Linked DNA regions of Mus musculus. The protein of the gene in region 1 purifies or fractionates together with the protein of each later gene. This does not show direct contact. Links are inferred from orthologs where the notes say so. Each region holds a gene or a part of one and is shown in the gene's direction. Other genes may lie near its edges.

The links. Proteins that work in one complex are often made in the same cells at the same time.
Region 2: the proteins of Mthfd2 (region 1) and Hras purify together in Homo sapiens (co-immunoprecipitation; 4 studies listed by BioGRID and IntAct, with this or other methods). This does not show direct contact. The link is inferred for Mus musculus from reciprocal best matches to the Homo sapiens genes MTHFD2 and HRAS.

Annotation. Positions count from the first base shown.
Region 1 is NC_000072.6:83,307,605-83,311,104, reverse strand, and holds part of Mthfd2 (bifunctional methylenetetrahydrofolate dehydrogenase/cyclohydrolase, mitochondrial precursor), read left to right. Parts: intron 1-585; coding exon 586-693; intron 694-1,550; coding exon 1,551-1,643; intron 1,644-2,046; coding exon 2,047-2,172; intron 2,173-3,500. UniProt on the Homo sapiens protein: Although its dehydrogenase activity is NAD-specific, it can also utilize NADP at a reduced efficiency.
Region 2 is NC_000073.6:141,191,205-141,195,475, reverse strand, and holds the start of Hras (GTPase HRas), read left to right. Parts: upstream 1-1,471; 5' UTR 1,472-1,636; intron 1,637-1,667; exon of another isoform or gene 1,668-1,973; intron 1,974-2,494; 5' UTR 2,495-2,535; coding exon 2,536-2,646; intron 2,647-2,855; coding exon 2,856-3,034; intron 3,035-3,135; exon of another isoform or gene 3,136-3,185; coding exon 3,186-3,345; intron 3,346-3,439; coding exon of another isoform or gene 3,440-3,521; intron 3,522-4,008; coding exon 4,009-4,128; 3' UTR 4,129-4,271. UniProt on the Homo sapiens protein: Involved in the activation of Ras protein signal transduction. Ras proteins bind GDP/GTP and possess intrinsic GTPase activity.

The DNA of each region.
Region 1 (3,500 bases):
GAAATGTTAACCAAATAGAAGCTATGCAGATATTCCCAAATCTCAACCGTCTCAGTATGGGGACGTTCCTGGTCTCACGTACTTCAGGTAAGGGATAGTCAACCTATACTTAGAACTGGCAGAAACCCCCAAAACCGCAAAGTGTGGGATCCCACCCAGCGGGGCTCACCTAGCTGTTGCATAGGACAGCTCTGCTCCATTCTACAGGCCTTGGAGAAGGAAATGGTAGGTTTAACAACGGTGACAGCAAGGATCCATGGGACATTTTGCAGTTTCCAGAACGCCTGTCGCCCCATTGCTGAGGCAGTCCCAGCCATAACTGGCTGATAGTTTAACGATTGGATTTGTGACCCAGGTCATCTGCCTTCCTCTGATACACATTCTAAGACAGAGCAGATCTTTTAATGCAAATCTATATATCTGAATGATTCGTGTTATGAACAAATTAAAGTTCTGTGTAAAGCGTGGTGGTAGGCAACAAGACATTTTCAGATGTGGCTTTGATTGTACTTATTCAAAGTTGAATCTGTGCTGTGTCATTTGGAGTGTGTGTGTGTGTGTATTTATTGTTATTTATCTTTGCAGGCATTCCAACCTTAGGGAAGAATGTGGTAGTGGCTGGCAGGTCAAAAAACGTTGGAATGCCGATTGCAATGTTGCTGCACACAGATGGAGCTCACGAACGGCCCGGGGGTGAGGAAGTTCCCTTTCCTGTGATAACTCTCAAAAGCCATCCTGTGACCCCTGTGAACACTCAGAAATAACCTGCACTCAATGCCACCAAGGATCCTGGAACTAGTCTCTGATAGATCCGAGTTTTGAATAAAGCTTGCTTGTAGGCAATTAGAAATTGTCAGTTATGGCTTATATGGCTTAGACAGTCCCAACGAGCTTTCTTACTCAGAGTTGGTGTCCTACTCTGTGTCATTTGGGAGGAAAAGAAACAGTGGCTCCTGCAGAGGAGTTAACTGACCAGACCGGCGAGTCATGTCATGGTCTGTTAATTCATCTAAGGGAAAGCTAAGTCAAGAATTGCACGGAATTACAGTAATAATGAGTTTCTGGGACCAAAGGAAAGCTGTATTTCCAGGTACCTTTTGGCATTATTGAGAAAACTCACCTGAGTAATTCTAGTGATGTTTTCTTAGAAAAGGTAAAACTCTTTAAAGTCCATGACATAGGAAATAGATTAAATGTGATTATAAGTGACCCCAAGGAGGTCCAGCTGAGAGCAGCGCCAGACACTACACCAAGTGGTAATTGTGTTTAAATTTTCATTTCAGTTATTACTATGTGTGAGTTCCGGGGTCAGACTCAGGCTGGCAGGAATGTTTGATAAGCATGTTCACACACACATACCACACACACACACACACACACACACACACACACACCCGGCCCTTTTCTCTGTCCTGAGTATTGGCTCTAAGAGACAATGCAAGTCCATAATTTTCCAAAGGTGTTGGGTTTCTGCAGTGCTGTGAGCAGCTGAAACCTACCTCCATCCCAGCCTGGATTTGGGACTCAAGGCATCTGTTTTTGCCTCTCAGGTGATGCCACAGTCACAATATCTCATCGATACACTCCCAAAGAGCAGCTGAAGAAGCACACGATCCTTGCAGACATTGTAATATCTGCCGCTGGTAAGAGCTCTACAGTGCATCTCTAGACTTATATGTAGATGTACACATATGCGTTGTCTGAACTCTCACCCGCCCAGCTGCCATCCCCTCCCAGTGAGTCTCTGAGCTGGAGTTGCAGTTGGGATTCTTGTACCTGTCGCCCCATTGCAGACTGGAGGAGGAGGGTACTCCTACCCGCAGAGTATTTCCATGTGCGTTTAAATGGTTCCTTAGTTACTGGTGCTCCTCCAGGTACCATGTCTTTAATGTCCTATGACTATAATGCCCCCTGCAGGCACAAGGTGCATATATATTCAGGCAAAACATTTCTATACGTAAAATCAATAAATCTACAATAAATGAAAATCCAGAGATGAAGTATGTTGCCTTCAGTGTCCCGCTGATCATTGCTCTCTGTCACTAGGCATTCCAAATCTGATCACAGCTGACATGATCAAGGAAGGAGCAGCGGTCATCGATGTGGGAATAAACAGAGTTCAAGATCCTGTCACTGCAAAGCCCAAATTGGTTGGAGATGTGGATTTTGAAGGTATTTAGTGTAATTTGTAAATAATACCTTTCATGGACATTAGGACAGATTGCTTTTCTTTCTCTCTCTCTTTCTTTCTTTCTTTCTTTCTTTCTTTCTTTCTTTCTTCCTTTCTTCCTTCCTTCCTTCCTTCCTTCCTTCCTTCCTTTCTTTCTTTTTAATGTATTTATTTACTTCATGTATGTGAGTACACTGTCGCTGTCTTGAGACACACCAGAAGAGGGCGTCAGATCCCATTACAGAAGGTTGTGAGCCACCATGTGGTTGCTGGGATTTGAACTCAGGACCTCTGGAAGAACAGTCAGTGCTCTTAACTGCTGAGCCATCTCTCCAGCCCTTTCTTTTCTTCTTTCCTTCCTTTCATTTCCTCTCTCTGTCTCTGTCTCTGTCTCTCTCTCTCTGTCTCTCTCTCTCTCTGTCTCTCTCTCTCTCTCTGAGACAAGGTCTCAGTAGGTAACTTTGGCTGTGTCGACCAGGCTGGCCTTGAACTCACAGAAATCCATATTCCTCTGCCTCCCTTTTTTTATATCTTTTAAGTAATAAGAATAATTTTGGTAACATTGTTAAAACACTTTTTTAAAAAATGTGTGGTGTGTGTGTAATAGTATGTGCTTGAGTTTGCATGTGTGTGGGTACATATGTCTGTGGGGGCATGTTTGGGGGCATGTGTGTGTGGGCGCATGTGTGTGGAGGCCTGAGATTGACACTGAGGGCCTTCCAGGATTGTTCTCTACCTTCTTCCAAGAGGCACCACCACGCCTCATGGCTATACATGGGATTTTTTTTTTTTTAAAGAAATTGTATGTGTGTTGTGTGGGTGTGTATATTTGTGTTACGTGTCTGTGTTGTATGTGGTATGTGGGTCTGTGTCTATTTGTTATGTGTCTGTTTTGTGTGTGTATTATATGTATATGTGCTGTCTGTGTGTTGTATATGTGTTATGTGTGTGTGGTGTCTGTGTATTGTATGTTGTGTATGTTTTTTTTTAAGATTATTTATTTATTTTATGTATATGAGTACACTGTTGTTGTACAGATGGTTGTGAGCCACCATGTGGTTGCTGGGATTTGAACTCAGGACCTTCAGAAGAGCAATAAGTGCTCTTACCTGCTGAGCCATCTCGCCAGCCTGCGATTTGTATGCATTATGTGTGTATGTGGTGTCTGTGTGTCATGTGTGTCCTAATATCTGTGTCTGTGTATATGTTACTTATGAGTGTGCATGTGTGATGTGTATGTGTGTGCTAATGTATATGTTGTGGGTGTATGTCATGCATGTGTGTTGTATATGTATGTTGGTAGGTTGTTTTTGTTTTTTGTTTTCTGGGT
Region 2 (4,271 bases), on another chromosome or scaffold:
AAGGTAAGAACTCTGTTCAGAACATTAAGTATATCCTTTCTTCTTAGTCCTCCTCCGTGGCCTCCATGCAGGTTTGGCCGACCCCTAACTCCTGTACTTCCTGCCGTTCCCAGATACATTTCTCTAGTTAGAGTGATCCCCTTCCACTGCACTTCATGACTTATTGCTTACTCTGTCCTGTATGTCTTGTCCCACAGACGTGGGTCGCCCAGGATCCCCCTAGCACAAAGGACATGGAGAGGAGGTGCTAGGCTCTCACCTGAGGGGTGGGCCAGAGTGCCCAAGACTTGGGGCGCAGCACTAGGCCCCTCCACCGCGGCGGTCGCTCTCTCAGGTGAGGGCTTTTTTTTTTAATTATTATTTTTACCACCGCGATGGGGTTGCAGGCCTGGCGCCATGGCAACGGGGGCGGGGCTCATTTGAATACCCAAATATTCGTGAGCCGCGGGCATCCGGGGCTTCGGTAAGATGAGCCCCGCCCCCTAGCAACGGTTGCCGGGACACGCGGCAGATCCGGTGGAAATGCTCCCTAGAGTAAGAGACAAGCCGGACGGCTGAACGCAGTGAAGGCACTCACGGTGGTTCAGAGAGCCGTCCGTGAGAGGCTTCTGGCCAGCTCTCGGTTATCTGCCTGCTAGATGAATAGAACAAGCCGAGCTTGCACCCCGGGCGGCGACCGGGGTGAGCGTGCAACCCCAGGCCTGCACGACCTGAGTAAAAGCCTGAGTTTTTCTGAGGACGTGCTTATTCGTTTCTTTGAAATTTCAAAAAGTGTTGAAAACATGTCATTTGCGTCTGACACAGATGTACCCTACTTGCTTGAGTGGGTGGAACACTTCATTTCGCCCCAATACCAACTTTTCTGACTTTCGGGGTCGTTCTTCAAATGGACGCAGTATGAGCTTCTGCAGTGTTGGGACCTCGAGTTTGAGAGCGGTAGGGGGGTCTTCTCCAAAACACGAAGAGCGCGGTGTGATGGGCCGACGCTGCCCCAGGATGGAGCCTTTGCTCCACCTCGACCTACGAGAACAGGCAGCTAGGGGTTCCGGCGAACTCTGTCTTCCTCTGTTATTCCGCGTCCGCGGTGCTGACTGTCCCCGACACCAATACCCGGTCGGGATGACCTTTCCACTCGTGGGCCTTTGGGCCTTTGGTGAGGCTGCAGGGTGGAGGCTCTGTAGTAGGTCCTCAACGCAACCCGAGCGTGCACCAGTTTCTCTCCGGAGAAATCCCGGGCTCGTAAGCACGGTCTCGGTCTGTCTCTTCTGCACCTAGGCACTAGACATCACTGTTGAGTGCAGGACCCAAGTTCCGGCACTGCCTTCCCCGCGGCTCCAGGAAGCCCCGCCCAGCTTCGGCTTCTGACGGATGGGTTGCTCAGCCAACCACAACAGGTCGCGGTGCGGAGGAGTTCGACCAATCACGGGCCGCCTCGAGTTGACGGACGGGCGTGGGGCGGAGCGGGGCGGGGCGAGCGCGGGCCCGGCCAAGTCCCCGCCGTCCGCTCCCGGCGCCCGCAGCCCGAGCCGCACCCGCCGCGGACGGAGCTCATGCGCGGGCCCAGCCGGCGCCCGTCCGCGCCCCCGCCCTGCCCCGGCCCCGGCCCCGGCCCCGGGGGCAGTCGCGCCAGCAAGCGGTGAGTGCGGGCACGGGGTGGGGCGCGGGGCGCAGGTGATCGGTGCTTCCTTGCTCCTCTCGGCCCGGCAGCGTGCCTAGCGTCCGGCTGCCCGCCTCTGCGGCCGGACTCGCTCTGCCTGTGGCCGTCCTCCCAGCGAGGCGCCGCCCGGGCCTCCGGAGACTCTGCGCCCCGCGGCCATCACGCTCGGGCCTCGGGGCCACAAGGACACCCGCGTTGGGCCCCAACCAGGGCCTTCTGCTCCCAGCCATCCCTCGCGTTCCTGTAGTCACCTGCTTCCCACACCCTCAGCCGTTTTTCCCCCCCTCTGTGAAAGCTCCCTGGCCCCTTGTGGAAGGTTTGTCTTAGTGGAGGGCAGGGTCCTTCTCCAGCCACCCTCCCCCCGCTGCCGGGACCGCGCCTGGCATGCAGTAGGCGCTCAGTAAATAGTTGTAGGTTGCACCCACATGCCGGCGGGCCAGAGCCGGTTGTAGGCTGGCATTGGCCTGCCTGGGCACGCCGAGGCCGCCGTGGCAGGACCTGTTTTTTGGGGGGTGGCCTCAGCCCTCAGGCGCCTCCAGTTGAGGGTTTCTGCCTACCTAGCGACTTCTAATTTGGGTGCGTGGTTGGGAGAAGCTCTCAGCTGTCAGCCCTGCCTTGGGGGCCTCTCCCTGCTTCCTCACACAGCCATTAAGTGCTGTTTGAGGAGGTTGGGGGGTGGGGGTGGGGTCCTCCCTTTTCAAGCTGAAGGTGCCACAGGTGATCAACTGGGCCACTGGCAGGCCTGCCTGCTCAATGCTGGAGAGGGCCCTTGGGTCAGGCATCTATTAGCCGTCTCAAGTGGCAAGGGCCTTGGCTAAGTGTGCTTCTCATTGGCAGGTGGGGCAGGAGCTCCTGGATTGGCAGCCGCTGTAGAAGCTATGACAGAATACAAGCTTGTGGTGGTGGGCGCTGGAGGCGTGGGAAAGAGTGCCCTGACCATCCAGCTGATCCAGAACCACTTTGTGGACGAGTATGATCCCACTATAGAGGTGAGCTCTGCCTACCTGCCAGAGGTGGGCTGTGGCAGTGGTCATGGGTAAATGACCAAACAGCCCAGGTCTTGTAGGTGTTATGGGGTATGATCCATCAGGGTATGAGAGGTGCAAGGGTGTAGGCTGGTTCTGTGGATTCTCTGGTCTGAGGAGAGGTGAGACCCCACCCCCACCCCCCACCCCCACTAAGCCGTGTTGTTTTGCAGGACTCCTACCGGAAACAGGTGGTCATTGATGGGGAGACATGTCTACTGGACATCTTAGACACAGCAGGTCAAGAAGAGTATAGTGCCATGCGGGACCAGTACATGCGCACAGGGGAGGGCTTCCTCTGTGTATTTGCCATCAACAACACCAAGTCCTTCGAGGACATCCATCAGTACAGGTGAGCCACCTATGGCTAGCCCGTGAGCCCGTGGCACACGTGAGGAAGGTTCCGTGTGCACACTGAGGCTTTATGTCTTTTTTTGAATGTCCTGGACACAGTCATGCCTGCAGCCTGCTAGCTGGCTCATATCCACCCCATCCCCCTCCAGGGAGCAGATCAAGCGGGTGAAAGATTCAGATGATGTGCCAATGGTGCTGGTGGGCAACAAGTGTGACCTGGCTGCTCGCACTGTTGAGTCTCGGCAGGCCCAGGACCTTGCTCGCAGCTATGGCATCCCCTACATTGAAACATCAGCCAAGACCCGGCAGGTGAGCCTGTTTCCCTCTCCACAGCTAGTCAAGGATTTACCGCACCCCACCCCAGCCAGGGAGCAGAGCTCATTGCCGCTCTCCCTCAACACAGGGCAGCCGCTCTGGCTCCAGCTCCGGGACCCTCTGGGATCCCCCCTCCCCCGGGACCCATGTGACCCAGCGGCCCTCAAGCTGTAAGTCTCCCAGACCGCAGGGCTGTGAGGGAGGCAAGGGCCAGGGTCTGGGCTTATGCCCTGCAGTTCTGAGTTCACATAGCTCTAGGGCAGGATGGGGTCCCTGGAGAGAGCTGCCCTGAGCCAGGCCGGAGCGGCGACCCAGGGGCCTTAGTTCTTCTTGTCCCCAGTGTCCTGTGGATACTGGCTAGTTTTAAGCCCTTCAGTGTTGTTAGGCTGTTCAACTTGAGACGTACTGGGGGTCTGGGAGAGTCCTGAGTTAAGTGGCTCTGACTTTGAGTGATACTCAGGAGTGAACCCTATTTCAGGAGAGTGGCCTGTGCCTTTTGGATGGCCAGGGCCCAGCTCCCTATTTGTGTTGGTTTTGCAGCTGAGGAAGGGAGCCTCCAGCGTTGGGGTGTGACCTGATCTAGGCAGGGAGTTTCTTACCCAGACAGCACCCCTTTTCTCCCCAGAGTCCTCTCTGATCTAGTCCCTCTGTCCCCAGGGCGTGGAGGATGCCTTCTATACACTAGTCCGTGAGATTCGGCAGCATAAATTGCGGAAACTGAACCCACCCGATGAGAGTGGTCCTGGCTGCATGAGCTGCAAATGTGTGCTGTCCTGACACCAGGTGAGGCAGGGACCAGCGAGACGTCTGGGGCAGTGACCTCAGCTAGCCAGATGAACTTCATATCCACTCTGATGTCCTTGCTCCCCCAATTCTGCCAATCCCCCCCGCCTGCAGTCAGTCATGTCCTTTGTGCCCGT